3 linked regions of the Callithrix jacchus genome follow. The protein of the gene in region 1 interacts with the protein of each later gene in a biochemical or structural test. Links are inferred from orthologs where the notes say so. Each region holds a gene or a part of one and is shown on either strand. Other genes may lie near its edges. The genes, in order: CUL3, DCUN1D5 and KLHL20.

Evidence for each region.
Region 2: the proteins of CUL3 (region 1) and DCUN1D5 form a complex in vitro, tested with the Homo sapiens proteins (2 studies listed by BioGRID, with this or other methods). The link is inferred for Callithrix jacchus from reciprocal best matches to the Homo sapiens genes CUL3 and DCUN1D5.
Region 3: the proteins of CUL3 (region 1) and KLHL20 form a complex in vitro, tested with the Homo sapiens proteins (2 studies listed by BioGRID and IntAct). The link is inferred for Callithrix jacchus from reciprocal best matches to the Homo sapiens genes CUL3 and KLHL20.

Annotation. Positions count from the first base shown.
Region 1 is NC_133507.1:146,311,452-146,317,463, forward strand, and holds the start of CUL3 (cullin-3), read right to left. Parts: upstream 3,227-6,012; 5' UTR 2,911-3,226; coding exon 2,845-2,910; intron 1-2,844. UniProt on the Homo sapiens protein: Core component of multiple cullin-RING-based BCR (BTB-CUL3-RBX1) E3 ubiquitin-protein ligase complexes which mediate the ubiquitination and subsequent proteasomal degradation of target proteins.
Region 2 is NC_133511.1:3,104,673-3,110,584, reverse strand, and holds part of DCUN1D5 (DCN1-like protein 5), read left to right. Parts: intron 1-4,058; coding exon 4,059-4,167; intron 4,168-4,251; coding exon 4,252-4,356; intron 4,357-5,037; coding exon 5,038-5,140; intron 5,141-5,912. UniProt on the Homo sapiens protein: Contributes to the neddylation of all cullins by transferring NEDD8 from N-terminally acetylated NEDD8-conjugating E2s enzyme to different cullin C-terminal domain-RBX complexes which is necessary for the activation of cullin-RING E3 ubiquitin ligases (CRLs).
Region 3 is NC_133519.1:29,306,056-29,312,067, reverse strand, and holds the start of KLHL20 (kelch-like protein 20), read left to right. Parts: upstream 1-2,663; 5' UTR 2,664-2,805; intron 2,806-3,262; 5' UTR 3,263-3,398; intron 3,399-3,746; 5' UTR 3,747-3,787; coding exon 3,788-3,810; intron 3,811-6,012. UniProt on the Homo sapiens protein: Substrate-specific adapter of a BCR (BTB-CUL3-RBX1) E3 ubiquitin-protein ligase complex involved in interferon response and anterograde Golgi to endosome transport.

The sequences.
Region 1 (6,012 bases):
GTGATCTCAGCTCACTGCAACCTCCGCCTCCCAGATTCAAGCGATTCTCCAACCTCAGCCTCCCGAGTAACTGGGACTACAGGTATCCACCACCAGGCCCCACTTTTTTTGTATTTTCAGTAGAGACGAGACTTCACCATGTTGGCCAGGCTGGTCTCAGACATCTGACCTCAGGTGATTCACCTGCCTGGCCATATTTTTTCTTTATGTAATACTATGCATTAACTACTTTTGACCATCAACTCATGCAGTCTGCAGTTATGTATAAAACTGCCAATCTGGAAGACTGGAATTTTGAAGGTCTACAAGCACATGGTTAACAAGATAAATCTATGAAATACCATACCACTGAGATATATAGCTATCTGTAACCAAGTCTCAAACTATAATTTTTTTTTTTTTTTGACAGAGTTTAACTCTTGTTGCCTAGAGTGCAATGGCACCACCTCTGCCTCCTGGGTTCAAGCAATTCTCCTGCCTCAGCCTCCCCAGTAGCTAGGACTATAGGCACCCACCACCATGCCCGGCTAATTTTTTGTATTTTAGTAGAGATGGGATTTCACCGTGTTGGTCAGGATGGTCTCGATCTCCTGACTTCATGATCTGCCTGCTTCGGCCTCCCCAAATGCTGGGATTACAGACGTGAGCCACAGACGCCCGGCCAAACTAGAATTGTTATTTTCAATGGGAACCACTTATGAATGTTATTAATACTTATTAAACAGTAATGAAAAATTTTAGAAATCAACAGCTATTAACTACTGAATATCAAAACTAGTCACTTACATATAACCTGAAAGAGAAGTTATAGACAGAATAGGCCCAAATTAGCTCATAACCATAAACGAAGCTAAAAAAAAAAAAAAAATTCAGTTCCAGTACTACGTGGTAAGCTATCACACAATTTTATTATACTGGTCAGCTAAAGGAATATGAAATTCTCTCCCATCTCTTCTCCTCAACAATACTAGCTCCAGAAGGCAGGGATCTTGGTCTTTTTAGCTATACTGACAAACCCTCACAAGACCGCCTGGCACATAATATTCAGTATTTGTTGAACAAATGAAATGATGGCAAAACAGGTAAGATCAGGGAAACCTGTAGACATCAAAGAGTTTGATTAAACACAGATGGAAGTACAACTGGTCAATCAGAAGGCCATTAACCTGAGTGAGTCGATGTCAAATGTGAGTTACTCCACGTTTTAGAAAAAAATCTTTAGAACTTTCGAATTCAAGAATGAGGAGTGTAGGACCGCAAACACTCCTAGAAAATCTGTTGTACAAAACTATTAACTTCATAAAATTCTAAATTCTAAACTCTACTTTAAAATGGTCAGAATTTAGCAGGAAAATTATTAATATTACTCACAAATTCATAAAGCCAGCTCTTTGCCCAATTATAAAGGAAAACATACTAGTGAACTTCGTTAGTACTCTGTCAACACTGCTGACTTCCTGATGTAATTTCTCACGTTTACTTAGAAAAAAGTTTGAAACATTCAAAAAGCCTTTATTATCAAAAACACTTAATTCTCCCAAATACATCGTACCTATTTACAGAAAGCAGAAGCTTCCTCACACTGACTTTAGTATTAATGTTCTTGCATTTCAGAATTCTACATCAGGTGTATCCTTTTCAATTTTAGGAATTCAGAGGTCCTCAGGTTCTCTGGGACTAAATTACTTGACTCAACTGGGGCAATCATATTTAGATAACAAGTCTTTTCCCCACTACAAGGGCACTTCAGGAAAAGCATGCTTTAAAAAGTGACAATAAATCCCTCTCTTATGCCTGCACATCATATGAAGTATTTGCGAATCTAAGACGGGAAGACCAAGATCTTTCTCTAATTTTACTTTTTAAAATCTTCTGTCCGATTGCTAGTTGGTCTGTCTTGATGTATGCCTTTTATTGTAGCAACATGGGCAAGTATGTCCAGTTTGTTAACAAGAGTACATTTTAATTGCTTGCCATCAGGTATCTGAATCAGATATGACACCCAAAGTTATACCCTATGTCCTAAACACTGAAAGGGTACGACTCAACCTAATGCCAAAAAAGTAAGTTTCTGAGCAGAACGCGTTTGCTGTCACTGAAACCGATGAAAGAAAGCAACTCCACAAGGCGACTAAGCTCATTCTTTGGGCTCCCAAGGCTGAGAAATGGAGAACCAATTGCCCGGTTTGCTCCCTGTGGCTTTCCCCCGGCCTTCCTCGGAGTGGCGAGGCAATCCTGCACAAGAGTTTGTAAAGTGCTTAGGAGGCTTGCGGGATGAAATACACCCCATGTTACTAGTTTATGATCACAGAGCATTCCGTGCAACCACTGTCACTGCGTCGGAGGCAAGTTGAGGGCAGAGCCCTTCCTGGGGAGGGGGACAGAGAGGGCAGCCCTTTCATCACCCTAAAAGCTAGACTGGGTTATTTTGGAAAGTGCAGCGAAACCCCACGTGAAAAGTTGCACACATGCCCCACACAGGGAGGACTCCGCCGCAGCCAGCAAAGCCGGAGACTGGCCCTACACCCCGGCAACGTGGGGAGGCGTGGGGCGGCCGAGGGGCTCCGGCCGCAGCCAACGCCCACGAGGCGGCTGGAGAAGCAGCTCGCAGACGGGGGCGCGGGGCCAGGCCCGGGCTCCCGGCGCGGGGAACGGCCCGGGAGGGCGGCCGCGCCGGGGCCCCGCGCCGCCCGGTTGCTGGGAAGGCTCGCGCCTCGCGGCCGGCGGGCGTGGGGGAGGGGAGGCCGGGCCTGCGGCCTGTTGGGGGAGTTCAGCCCGGGCCTCGCGTGCGGCTCTCGGCTCGGCCCCCGGCCCCGGGGTCCCGGACGCCGGGGAGAGACTCACCGGAAAGGCCCGGATCCGCATCTTGGTGTCCTTCCGGCTGCCCGTGCCTTTGCTCAGATTCGACATGGTGCTCGTCCCCTACCCGGCGGCGGCTTCAGGTCGCGCTCCGCGGCGCCGGTGTCACATTTAAGGCGGGCGGGCAGGCGAGGGGCGACGCTGGGGGCGGTGGCGGAGCGGACCCGGGCAGGGCTAGGGAGCTGGCCGGCCCCTGAGCAGCCGCGGCGGCGGCGGGGACGGCGGCGGCTCGGGCTCCGGCGGCTCCGACGCGGCTGGGGGGCTGCGCTGGCGCGGCTGCTCCACGGGGTCCCCCTCAGGCCCGGCTTCGCTCCCTTTATCGCGCTCCTCCGCGATGGCGGCGGCGGCGGCGACGGACAAACATCTCACTGCGCAGGCCGAACGTCGTCCTCCTCCTCCTCCTTCTCCTCCTCCGCCTGAGCGAGACGAGATCCGGCCCAGAGGGTGGAGGGGGGAGGAGGGAGGGAGGAGAGCCGGAGAGTGAGAGATGCGGGGGGAGGGAGGTGGGAGGACGGGAGGGGGAAGCGGGCGGCCGCGGCGGGGACGCTCAGATCTCGCGAGAAGAGGGCGAGCGCGCTACTCCTTGTGGGGCGGGGCGAAACCCGGGAGCGGGAGGACGCCACCAGAGGGGAGGAGGGGAATGGGGAGTTGGGGGGAGTGGTAGGGGCCGGCGGGGCGGGGTAGCGAAAAGAGGGCGTGGCTAAGAGCGGGAGGTTTAAGCTGCCTTTTGAAAGAGGAGCGCCAGGTCCCCGGTTCTGGGCGGAGGTGGTTGCTGATTGGTGGAACTTCAAGTGGGGTTGGGGGGGAGGGGGGTTCCTGGTCACGTGGGGGGAGTGGGCGGGGGAAGTTTGGAGAGCAGGAGCAGGATTGTAGTGGGCTGGGCCTTACTGGGCTGGGGCAAGATTTAGTCTTGAGGAGGAGCGTGGGGTGCTAGATGGATAACTACGTCCCGAACTGGTTCCTATGTTTTTCTAGGGCATATGGACTAGGGATGGGTACTTGAGCAGAAGCCAGCAACTAGAACGAAGAGTTTGTGCAGGAGTTACCTGCATGATCGGAAATTACTGTCCTGTATGCTCAACAAGGTATTCGGACTGGGTGTCCACACAACAGCTCTCAGGACTGGAGGGTGGAAATTTAATCTACAAAGTTCCCTTAAACTGCAAAAGCTTCGGGACCTCTTGATTCACTGATATTTTCTGGTGGACCCCGGGCTTATTAATGTTAAAACCTGTTTTTCATTACTATCAGAAAAAAATAACAGCTCCATTAATGAAATGCAGCATTTGGTAAATGATGTTAAATGGAATGATAGAAACCTAACTTTAACCAACCAGATGAGTCATTTCTACTATTACCAAGAGTACTGTAGGTTTTTAAAGCCAAAATTACTGTCTGATACAGTTGCTGTATATTTGAAAAGTTTTGGGTTTTGGGGGAGAGGGGTTTGATCATTTTATATTCAAAATGTCTAATCTGACTCATGGTTTTGCTGTCCATTTATTATGAACTGTACTTCCTCATTTACCTACTTGCCCAAGTGCTGTTATGTTTGGGTTTCTGACTCTGCAAGGGAGTATGTGAGTGCCTACTAAAGTTTGTCATCTTCCTGTTTTAAAGAAACAGCTGTTTTAGGGATAGATATGTACATTTAGAAGCTGAAATTGTAATACTTTTAAATAGCAAACTTAATATAAAGTGAAATACACATTTGTTGACTGTAAGGTTGAATTTGCCCTAAATTAACTCTAATTAGTAAGCTTATGAGTTATTGCGCTTAAATCCCCTACTCGGTTGAAACGCCCCATTGCAAATACCATATTTTCTTTTTTTTTTTTTTTTTGTGGGAGTTTTTTGGTATTGTCTAATTAAAGCAAGAGCTTAAGAAACAAGGATATTGCTTAAGATAATATCTGTAAATACTGAAGCTAAAAATAGGTTATCAAGAATTGAGTTAATAAACAAAGATTGGGAGGGGCTCTGACTTCAGTATAAGATAATGTCTGTATTGGAGTTTATAATCTGTATGCTAATTGAACCTTCATTTCCATAATATTAGAATATAATAACAATGTTTTCCTGTTGGTTGTACTCTTATGGCCCAGTTTCTTTTACTGTAAGAATATATGTTCAGAACAGCGATCTCTGAGGAACCATAAAAAGAAATTTAACAGTGGTGTGATCTCTGCTCACGGTAATCTCAGCCTTCTTGGCAAAAAAAAAAGAAATTTAAAAATATATATTAAAAAATATATATATGTTCTTGGAGCCATTGTTTGAATCCCAATTCTGCCACTTTACTAGCTGTGTTATGTGTCTTTTGGGACATGGAGTTGACAATGCCTAGAGTTCCTCATCTGTAAAATGGAGACAATAACAGTACTTCCTCCTTGGGCTACTATGAAATTTGAATAAGTGAATACATTTTAGAAGCCCTGAGAGTTGGGCATTGCTCTCAGTGCCCTGAGAGCAGCCACTTGCCACCTGTTGGCTGTTACTAACATGGGCGTTAAAGCCAAGGTTATACTACTTCCTTTATTCAATAGGTAGGTTTCTTTTAAAAAAACACTTGTATGCTTTTATAAAATAAATCGTATTTTGAAACTAAGCCAGTCACTGACATTTGGATCTCAGTCCACTAAAATATTTTCTGATAAGCTAGGGAGTCAATATAGGTTTGACTTTATATTGGCAAGGGCATTAAAAGGGAACAATTAGCATAGACTATCCCCATCATTTATTAAAATGTATTTTAACCTCAGAAATGGGGAAGATCCATTTTTGAATAAATGACAGTTTCTTGAATTTACCAGCCTCAGGATGAACAATGCATCACACTGATTTTTCTCATTTCACTCTGAACTTAAGGAGACGTCACAGGCCAGCATTTAGGAACTCACTACATTAAGGTATATTTCTACTTAATTGTAAAGCATATAGTAAATATGGTAACTCTAATATGTTTGTTTTGTGAGCCTAGATTTTCATATGTTGGTGTTGCTTAACCAAAATTTAGCTGCAGCTAAAAGAATCATTATGAACTGTGTCTTCCCTTGGCTTTTAACCACCAGCAGTCAGAAAAACGACTCAAAATGAATTTTTCATTAAGAAGTCTGCTCATTTATTTGTTCAGTTATTCATTTATTCAAGAAT
Region 2 (5,912 bases), on another chromosome or scaffold:
TTCCAAGTGTTTGGAGATTTTGCTGTTAACTTTTTGTTCTTGATTTCTAGTTTGATTCCATTGTCAGAGAACATATTCTTTTTTATTTCCGTTATTTTTAATCTGTTGAGGGGTTTTCTCTGGATTGGTCTATTTTGTTTTATGTTTTGTGGGCACTTGAAAAGAATGAGTATTCTATTGTCTTTGAATGGAGTAGTCTGTTAAGGTCGACTAGATCCTGTTGGTTGATGATGTTAAATTCTATGTGTTTATTGAATTCTATCTAGTGTTTCTATCAATTGCTGAAAAAGGGGTGGTGAAATATCCAACTGTAATTATGAATTTATTTCTCTTTTCAGCACTATTAGTTTTTACTTACATTTTGAAGCTCTATTGTTTAATGCATATGAGGTTGCTTAGAATTGTTTAGGATTCTATGTCTTCCTGGTGGATTGACTCTTTTATTATAATATAATTATCTTCTTTGTTCTGATCATTTTCTTTGCTCTGAAGTTGCTCTAAGTCTATTTTAATATCATCTAATGTAGAAAGCCACTTTCTGCTTTCTTTTAATTGACGTTTCTATGAGATATTATTTTCCATTGTTTCATTTTCAACCTGCCTATACTATTTGAAGTTAAAGCTTCTTCTAGACAGCATATATTTGGGTCATCCTGTTTTTAATCCACTCTGTCTTATTGGTATATTTAGACTACTAACATTTAATGTAATTATGAATATATTAGAACTTAAGTTGACATTGTATTTTACAATTCAAAACTTTCCCTTTGTTTCCTTTTTTTATATCTATTTCTTTGTCCTTGGACTTTTTCTTTTGCTGATACTTTGTATTTTTTTTCATTTTTTTATAATGTTTTTGATTACTCATTGAAGCATTCATTTTATAGCTACTTTAAAGTGTGTCAGATGATTCTGAACATCTCTGTAATTTTGGTGTTTGCAAGTATTGATCGTCTTTTTGCATTCCATTTGAGATCTTCGTTTGACAAGTGATTTTTAAAATTGAAACCTGGACATTTTGGGTAGTATATTACAAAACCCTCGATCTCCAGATCTTATTTGAACCTTTAGTTTTAGCTATCTTACTCTAATGCTGTTCTGGCAAGAGAAATCAGGGCTGCCACCTTATTACTGCCAGGTACAGGTAGAAATTAAATTTTCTACTCTGCATCCATTGACATCTGAAGAAGGATGTCCCTTGTGACTGCTGGGCAGAGATGAGAGTTCTGGGTTCCCACTAGGCTTTTACTGATACTTTCTTGTCTGAAAGGGATAGGGGTGATGGTGATAGCCCTGACTCTTCACTTGGCCTCCTCTGTACAAACCTAGGGTAGAGGAGGATTGGCTGCTTGTTACTACCTGGTGAGAACAGAAGTTCATGTTACCCATGTGGTTTCCACCAGCATTGCAGGAGTTGGGAGAGAGGCTTTATTGTATCCCGGTAAGGGTAGACATTTTAGGTCCCCATTCAGTGTTTGCTAGCATTGGTGAGAGTTGGGCCATAGTTTCTTCAATGGTTTTTAATTAGAGTGTTTATTTTCTAAGCATTTTCTGCTCTGTGAGGCTCCTCCTTTCTTTGTCTTTTGGCTAAAGAAAAGGCAGGGTTTTATTGGGGCTTTTTGTCTCCCCTCGTTGGTGTTTCTGGTTACTAGCGTCTTAAGCTCCAAGTTTAGAATATATTAGGCAAAAATAAACTCAGAGAACTCACCACCATGTTGTTCCTCACGTTTCCACCTTTCAGAGTCTTTGTTTATTTTCTGTAAAATGTCCAGTGATTTTAGTTGTACCTAGGACAGAGAAAGAATAAAAAGTACATTGACAGCATCCCACTCAAGTTAGTGCCCCTTTTCTTTGCACCACTTTAGAATCAAACTCTTTGAAAGCATTCATCTGTACTTATTTTCTCCAGTTCCACTCTTTTCATTCTCTCCTAAACCGATTCCAGTAAGATTTCTATCCCTATCACTCCTTTGAAACAACTCTTGTCAAGGTGCCGTTTTCAAGTGAATACTAAAAGCAGAAATACACATGCATTTTTGAAGTACAAGATCTTTTATTTTAACCATTAGGTTTGGGAGTACATATGAAGGCTTGTTATATAGGTAAACTATTGTCACAGGGCTTTATTCTACAGATTATTTCATCACCCAGGTTTTAAGCCTAGTACTCAATAGTTATCTTTTATGTTTCTCTCTCTTCTCCCACCCTCCACCTTCAAGTAGACCCCAGTGTCTGTTGTTTTCCTTTTTTGTGTTCATAAATTCTCATCATTTACCTCCCACTTATAAGTGAGAACATGTGGTATTTGGTTTTCCAGCAATAGCTTGCTAAGGATAATAGCGTCTAGCTCCATCTATTTTCCTGCAAAAGATATGATCACGTTCTAAATTCTGGCAAGATTGGTCAAGAAACCAACAGAAAAGCGATGAAGATAAATAATGTTGATGCAAATAAGAAAATGTTATGAATAATTTTAATCATATTTAAATAAAATTGTATGTAAAATAATCTAGTTATCAGAAAAGTATGTGACCAAAACATTCAAAAAGAAATAGAAAATCTGAATGGTCCTATAGACATTAAAAATGTTGGTTTATTTGTTAAAAGTCTTTCTTCCTTTCCTCAGTACTCACCTGAGTTTGGACAGATGCTAATTCCAGAGTTACATAAGCTTTTTCAAAAACAGGGAAAAAAGTAGCAATTCTCTTTTTATTTTCTGAATCTTACACACTACAAACTTGTTAACAAAACTGGCAAGGAGAGTGAGAATGAAATTTAGAAGCTAGCCTCACTTAGGACATAGCAAAAATAACCCCAAAACCTAGCAATGTATAAAACAGGTAACATGACCAAATTTGACTTATTCTAGAAATGCAGGGTTTAATTAGTATTAGAAATTTGTCCAGAGTGTTTACACACTAATGAAATTATGATACTACACATCACAGGTCTTTGCATTATTGATTCAGTATAGTCTTCGTTAAATCTGAGAATGCCAGGTGTCTAGAGAGCATGTTGAATACTGAAATTCAGTTTTGAGTGGAATACTGTGGATCACAGTAGATGGCACAATTATTTTTGATTAAAGGGAGTCAGATGGTCTCTCAGAGGTGACAAAAGGTGACTTAGGTTTTGATGAGTAATATTGTTATCAGCATGTTGGAGGGAACGGTATTTCAAGTAGAAATAGTGGATGCTAAAGCATGGCTGTGGCATTTGGGAATGGTAAGTTACATAGTTAGAGCATGGTAAGGTTATCTGGAAGTGGCAGGAGATGACACTAGAGATTTGTGCCAAATTGTGAAAGGCCTTCACTGTCTTGCTTCTTGCTAAGCAGTGGAATTTATCAGCCCACTGAGAGAAAGCCAGTTGAGATTTTTGAGCCTTCCATATATTTAGTTGTCATGTCTTTTAAAATAACATGTATAACTTGTTTGCATGCTTTTGCATGTATAACTTATTTGAAGTTAGGTGCTTCTACTGCTTGGCTTTTTGTGTACAAAAATATAGGGATCTGGATTTATGACTGGACCACTTAATATAATGTATTAATTTCCTCTGTGTTATATCCTAAACTTTTAAAACCACTCATGGTTAATCTCTTTCACCAAATTGTTCCATAAGAACTTTCCAAAGAAAGAGGTGACAAGGGCATTTTTTATCACATACACAGCTAAAAATGACAGAGCAAATGAAACTAAATGAAACTAAAAACGATCTGTCATTTTTAGCTGTGTGTGTGATAAAACATTTTAATACATCTCTTTTTAACTTGGATTTTATTGGAATTTTTGAAGGAGTTGTTTGTTTTTAAGAAAAGTAATTGGACTGAACTTTCATTGATTCCCAGGTTTCTTTTTTCCCTTTTATCTTTTTTTTGTTGCATTGGTAGATGCAAGGCAAGAAATTTGTTATTCTAAATTTGTGAATCAGAGAATTTTAAACCTAAATTAACTTCATAAATGAACTCACTTTTTTCTTAATGGATTCCTTCTAAGTTCCAATGATAGTTTGGATTTTCTTGATGATGTAATTGTTTGATATTTCTTTTATTTAAGGTGTGACTGCACAGAAAAGTTACAAAACAAATTTGACTTCTTGCGCTCACAGTTGAATGACATTTCGTCATTTAAGAATATCTACAGATATGCCTTTGATTTTGCAAGGGTAGGTGCAGTTTTCACGTTTTGTTGTTTTAATCGCTTTCATCTTGAGGCCACACTGAGGAAAACTTTTTCACTTATATTTTAGGATAAAGATCAGAGAAGCCTTGATATTGATACTGCTAAATCTATGTTAGCTCTTCTGCTTGGGAGGACATGGCCACTGTTTTCAGTATTTTACCAGTACCTGGAGGTATGTATGTTTTTTTGAATTTTGAAAGTATTATTTTAAAACTTAGTCTGACTGAAAGTTATACTTTTAATTGAGGAACAAATAGATTTTTAATAGTATGCTGTAAAAAAACTCCTTGAGTAGAGAAAAAAATTATATTAAAATATGTATATATCAGCTGTTATTTTAAGATAGAAGTTCATGTTTATAAATACATTTTGTACCTAAGATATTTTCAATACTACCTTCAACCCATGAAAGAAACCTCCAAGAAATATATTGTAGCACAGACATTTGTCATGCAAAATTAGTTTTTCGGGGTTTTGCCAACTCAAAATATGGCTAAACAGTAAATCTTAAGTAGAGAAATGATTTACAAGGAAGCAGCTCAAGAGAACATACCGGATGTAGGAAACAGTATATATCTTGATCTCCTTGGTGGAGGGGTGGTAACACAGTATGTTGTAAAAGTTAGTTTTATCTTTAAATTAGTACTCAGTGCTCTTATTATTCCTCAAAAACGAAAGAAAAGTACAAAATAGATGATATCGATCTGTAAATGCCCATGAGGAATCTCTTAGAAACACAAATAGTTTAAAAGAATAATAAATGTTCTAGGAAAATCCAAATCACAAAGTTATAACTTAGTTTACTAAATTGAGTAATTTTTTTTAATCCAAATATTTAAATCGTTTTTTTCAGCAATCAAAGTATCGTGTTATGAACAAAGATCAGTGGTACAATGTATTAGAATTCAGCAGAACAGTCCATGCCGACCTTAGTAACTATGATGAAGATGGTGCTTGTAAGTGTAACATAATGTATTCCTGTGAAAATAAAATTTCCAAAATCTTAAATGAGCATATGCATTTGTGTATTATTAGCATAGAGGTTTTAAACTTTGTAATAGTAACTGATGATTTAATCGTGTGAGGGATGTGGGAGAACTAGAGAGTTTAGATTCAGCAGTATTATATAAAATCTATGCTGGTAAATGAAATGTTTTCAGTTCCTCGATAACCAAACATTTTAGCTAGATTTAAATCGTTTTTGCATCCAGAAGCTAAAATTCAGCTTTGTTTCTGTCTCTCCTGGCACTTCCCTATGGAAGAAAAATATAGTCATGATTTTTGAGATATGACAGCAAAACAATCAGTAACTCTAGAAAAAGCTTTAAAGTTATTATAGAATATCATGCCACCCATTAACAGTATGGCATATCATGTCAGTATAACTTCCCTCTGAAAACTATAAATTGATTGTGAGTAAACTGATAGTGAAATATTTATAATTTTTCAATCCCTCCAGTTAAAATATCTGTCCATACTCCATAAAACAGGAATTGAAATAATTAGATAAACCAAGTTAATTCTGTAGAACTATATATTATTTCAGTTCCCACCACCATTTTGGTTGCTTGCGTGTGTTTTCAGTGTTCAAAAGGGTTACATGGAAAGGTACATTCCTATAAACTTCAACTGAAATTATACACTTTTTTTCTGTGACACTGAAGAAATAAAATAGCAGAAGGGATAGCTTCATTTCTTCTACATGTATTTTCTCCTCTCTCTCCAAGA
Region 3 (6,012 bases), on another chromosome or scaffold:
ATTTGAACAGTAATGAGAGAAATAAACATCTAAACCACAGTGAATTACCATTTTATACCCATCCAATTGGCAAAAACAAATTTAAAGTTGGAAAATACCAACTGTGATGACAAATAAACCAACAAAACCCCCAAACACTTGTAATAGAGAGACAACACAGCACTGTAGCTGAAAGCAGACTCTAGAGCCATTGTTTATGGTTTCAAGTTCTTGCTCTACTTCATAACTAGCTATGTGACTTTGGGCAACTTATGTGACATCTTGGTGCCATCTGTGAAATTGGAATGATGATAATAGATCCTACCTTGAGAGGACTAACTTGAGTATTGATGAGTTAATATAACAAGCTACGTATTTGCTAGTATTATTATTATTGAAATAGAATAATGACTTTGGAGAGCAATTTGACTAGTGCTGAAACAGTTGAAGCTGTGCATAGTATACAACCCATCAGTTTTACTTCTAGGTACATACCCCAAAGAAACACTTACATATGTACATTTTTAAAAAATCTATGGTATATTCATATAATGGAATACTAAATAGCAGTGAAAATAAATAAAGTAGTGCAGTAGTTCTCAAACTTTAACATGCGATATAATCACCTGGAGAACTTGTTAGAACACAAATTACTAGGTCCCACCTTCAGTTTCCAATTCAATAGGTCTGTAATGGGGCTCAAGGGTTGGCATTTCCCAAATGATGCTGATACTGCTGTTCCAGGACCACACTTTGAGAATCATGGAATTGGACCTGCATTGATCAACATGGACAAATCTTACAAACGGAAGGTTGAATGGAAAATGCAAGTTGCAAAAGAATACATATGCTTTGATACCACTTATATAAAGTTTTTAATATGAAAAATAATTCTACTACATGTGTATACATATCACTTATACACATGCAGTAAAAATTTTTAATAAGATCACAAAGCTAGTCAGTTATAGGTCTAGGATGTGTACCTGTGTGTATCTGTGAAATCACCTTTGCAAATTGAAACTGCCTTTGCAAAAATTCTGTCAGTGAAAAAATTATGGCAGTCGGGGAGATCTGATCTAGCCAAACCCCATCTTGTCTTTAGCTTTCAGTCTGCCCTTAATTATTCCTGGGTTTAAGCCAAGATAACTTAGGGAGACATTTAGTTTAATGGTTTAATAATTATAATTCTTCTCCAAAACAACTGTCTTTGCAAAGCTACTGAGAATCTACCAGACTAGGGGGATAAATAAGCCTGAATTCTGTTAAGGTGTAGACATAAATGATTGCCAGCCATTATTCCAGAGGTCACAAGATAAGCAACTTCTCCAACTACTCCTGCAGATAACAACACTATTGTAGATTCTAAGATTGGCCTTTTGAGGTATCTTTTTAAGTTTCTTGCATGTTTAACTACCCCGATGGCTCCACCTGGACCCACCAACTGTTCCAATGGCTCGACCCAGCAACAACTCAGTAGGCAGGAGGACCATCTCCTATACCCCCAATCAGTCAGCAGCAAGCACCCATTGCCTAGCCACCCCTACCCCTTTCCCCAAACTACCTTTGAAAAAAACCCTAGCCCCCAAATGCTCCAGGAAGCCAATCTGAATAATAATAAAACCTCTTCCATTTTTCCACTCAGTGTCATGTAAAAACTCTTTCTCTATTGCAATTCCTATCAGCTGTATCCGGGGAGCAGGCAAGAATAATCTATTGGGCCATTATATCTGGATCTAAAGGCCATGAGTTTTCCACTACAAGCTAATTAACAAGAGGTATCCTTTCCCCTCAGAAACAACTAGACAAACCTCTGTAGAGTCTATGTAAAGAACAGCTAAAGAAAATCTGGTTATTACTTAGCCTAGTATACTTATCAGGAAATCAGCAACTCTTTCTCTGACGTTCCTGAAATTGTAATCCCCACCTTACACTTCTATCACTTGTTTTCTAAATATTAATATACAGTAAAAATCAGGTGGCTGTGTGCTATGGGAAAATCTGGAGGAAAAGATAACTTGAAAAATACATTTTTTGACTCTGCTTGCTACTGAAAAAAATTTTTTTTAAGAAAATATACTCTTCTCTCCCTAAATTAAAGTGAATCCACAGAAGATGTGTTTGGTGAAGTGTCTGGTGCTGAATACAAACTAGAAAGAGCAAACTGACACAGCCTTAGAGCCTGGATAAAACCCTGGTGTCTTGAAAGCTCAATTGTGGGAAATCTGGAGGGTCAGGTCTATCTCTGATTTGTCTGTGTATCTTCTGCACCTGGCACATAGTAGGGGCCTGACAGATAAATTATGCCAACCCATGCGTGCATGCAATAATCCAATCCACAATTAGGAACACTGTGCCCAAAGGAGACCCACCGACTACAAAGAAAAAATTCCTAGCTTTCTGTGACCACTCCAGTCTTTCTACTGGCTTTGCTGACGAAAACAAAGAAGAGGGGGCTTCAGTATCAAATACTGCCAGTTCCTCAGTGAACTCAAAAAATAGTTACTCTAGAAATACAAGGAATCTCGAAATACATGTTTATCCCATGAGGATAAACAACCTGTGAGGTTACCTGAATTCCCTAGCAAAGGGCGCGACTGCTTCCGGAGCCGCACCGGAACCCCTTGGCGGACTATGTGGGTTTCTGCAGGAACGATTTAGGAGTAGGACTACTTCCTGCTTCTGGACATGGGCGGGTGAAGGGAAAGGAAATAGCTTTAAGAGCGGCATTTTGCCTGCGCTAACAGCAGTAGAGGAGTAGGCAGAGAGGAGTGGAGGGCGGAATAGACGGTGGAGGCTGCGGCAGAGAACAAAGTGTTAAAGCCGGTAAGTGAGCCAGCCGCCTTAGAGCGGGGAACAGCGCACAGCGCTCCAGGGCTCGCTTTGCAAATATGTGGTCCCAAGTTGCTGAGCTGCCCCATGGGGTCAGGGCCGTGCTTCGTCGGTCGCTTGTCAGACGGCGCCGGGAAGAGGCTGTTGGGGCGCCAAAGCCGGGCCTCGCGGAGCTCCAGAGTGCGCTCTCGCAGGCTGACAGCCTATCTCGTAGCCAGAGGAGGCCCTGGGCAGTGTCCTGCCTGGTAGTAGTGCTGGGGTTCCGCACCCTGGACGGCTTCCCCAGACAGTGTTTGGAATTCAGGGAAGGAAGAAAGTAGTGTGCGCCCCCATTTAACCCTCGGGACCTGGCGAAATCTGCTACGTGGGTAGTGAACATTGTTACGGGGACTGAAGGAAATGCTTGTAAAGAGTGTTAGTCTGGAGCCATACTTTCCCTGCCCTGTTCAAGCTCCCTGGGCTGTCGGAAGCGGAGTTGGTTGTTTGTAAAGGCGAATGCTGACGCCTCCTCCTCCTGTCACTTCGAGACAAGTTAACAACCTTCAGATCCGTTGTTAAAGCAGCGTGTTCCATATGTGATCTATCAGGTTAGTACTGCTGTGGGTGTCTGGTGATTGCTCTGTAAATTTACTTGATGGCGAGATCACAGTTAAATATGTCCAAGCACTTTTTGAAGAGAAGCAAGACTGATCTAACAGTCGGGACTATTTAGCATATTTTCCCTTACCTTTACATTTAATCGTTTTAGCATGCACAGTAAGGATGGTAATCTTAAATATATTAGATTAAGTTACTGTGCAATCTGCAAAAGGCCTGTGGTATAATAAGATAGGAAACTTGATAACTGACGAAATGAGCGAAATGATTATATAAAGATTGTTACTGTAAAACTCAGAAATCACTTTTATTAATTTCCTGCTTTTCTGTTGTCTTAGGTTCGGCTTTAAAGTGTGGTGAAGGGTACTTTTCATGGTGCATGGAAGGAAAGCCAATGCGCAGGTAGGCATTTAGGAAGAAAATCTTTGGTTTCACTTATTAAAATTCATCATGTAATTATTTAAATTTTTAAAAAAGAGTTTCAATTGTAATAAGTTCTGCTTGCAACTAATGAGTCTTGTTCTAAAATAAATCAAAAGTAATATTAAGAATTAATAGCTTTTTAGTAGAGTAAAATATAGAAGTTAAATTTCTAAAAAGTGCTGTGGATTGTATATACTGTTAAACAATTTTTCTTTTTTCATGTTTTTTTACAGTAAATTATTAAGTTCACTATGATACTATGTGGATTTATTATAATCTTCAGTCCCCTATAAAATGTAGAGAATTCTGTTGCCATATAAGAATCATAATTATTTATAATACAGTGTACTGCATGCCTAATTATGGTTTTGGTTATTTCCTTAATATTCAATAATAATAAAGCCTACTCACATTTGTTCTGTTAATTAAAATAGCTGCATTGCAGAGAAGATTGTATAAGAACTAAAAAAGGTATTAGACATAATAACTTAGTCCATAGAAAAATAGAAACAATGTCTGGGAAAATATAGACAAATAGGCCCTTCCAGCCCTAGAATTTAATAATGCTCTTTCTCAATATGTTCTATCAAATGAGACTAGAATCTTTATTGATACAGAATCAGCCTGGTTCTTTATTTTTTTTGATTTTTAAATTTGTTTTCTATTATTGAACTCTAATTATTTGTTATTTAACATCAAAGATAAACAACTTTTGCAGTTCTTTTAAGAGAAGAAACATTTTATAATGGGAATATGACTTATAACTCAGAACTTGGAGCAAGAATCAGAATGTATATCTTTTTCCAAATCTGTTATTTATCAGTTGACATTGAACTGTTCATCTTCTCTATACCCCAGTTTACCTCTTTAGTGTATCTGATCAGGATATTGAGGATTCATGAACATTTGCAAATGCTTTAAGATCTCTAGATGAAAAGATGTTATCAAGATGAAAAATACATTATCTTGTTTATATTTTACTCTGTAATAGGAATATTTTACCCCAGTGTACATGAAAAAATTAACAACATATATTAAATGCTTCATCAATTCAATTCTAACATTACTGCAAAAGATTAGATTGCATCTCATCTCCAGCTACCATAAAATGTCATATCTTATGTAATTACTAAAATAAGAGCTTATTATTTTTTAAAAGAATGGCAAAGTGTGGGAATGTTTTTGATTTATCAGTAGTTTCTGTATAAAATATTTGCTTAATCATTCATACCTGCTGTTTTTTTCTTCCTTTGTTACATAATACTGTCAGCTATTCAAAATCATATTGGATAATTCTAATGCTGTTAATTGTTAAGTTACAGCTCTTTCTTCATCACTATCAGTTGGCCAGAGCGTAGCCTACTCACATTGGTCTCTGATCTTTCACCTGCTTCCTACATTCAATTGTGGTCACACCTTCCTATCCTTTTATTGGGCTGTCATTTTTGCTGATGCAACCCAGAAGGCAGTCTCTGTAATAACTGGATTTATACTCAGCTGCTACTAAAGAAGCTTTGAGTGAAAAATAACTTTTTCTATTAGATTATTTGAATACATGTTCATTCTGCCTACTAGATTGTGAGCTCTTTGAGTCTGATGTCTTCAGATATTTGCATCACTAGTACCTAATGATTACTGAATAATTGTTTGAATAGGACTGAACAATTTCTACAGACTTTCCCAATCCAAAAAAAATCTATGAACAAGAAAAGACTGAAAATTATGGTTGAAGGTATTCTAGTTTCTTGATTGTAAAGTTTTATGAAATCAATTGGCATTTTATTAGTAAAGTTTCATTACATCACTTATTTACTATCATTTGCATACACAATGCAAAATTTAAAAGATACAATAGGATATTCAGTAAAAAGTTAAGTCTCCCAGTGCTGTCCCCAGTTCCCAGTTCTCTCCAAAGGCAACCACTGTAAGCAGATTCTTACACGTTCTTTCAGAGCCATTGTAGTTCATACACAAATATATATATATATAAGATGTCTTCTCTTTTTATTTTTTTAATTTGTATTTATAGAGATAGCGTTTTGCTGTGTTACCCAGGCTGGTCTCAAACTTCTGGGCTCAAGCAGTCTGCCTGCCTCAGCCTCCCAAAGTGCTAGGATTACGGGTGTGAGCCACTATACCTGGCCAACATTAGTGGCTTTTAAAAAGAAAAGATGGCAGTGG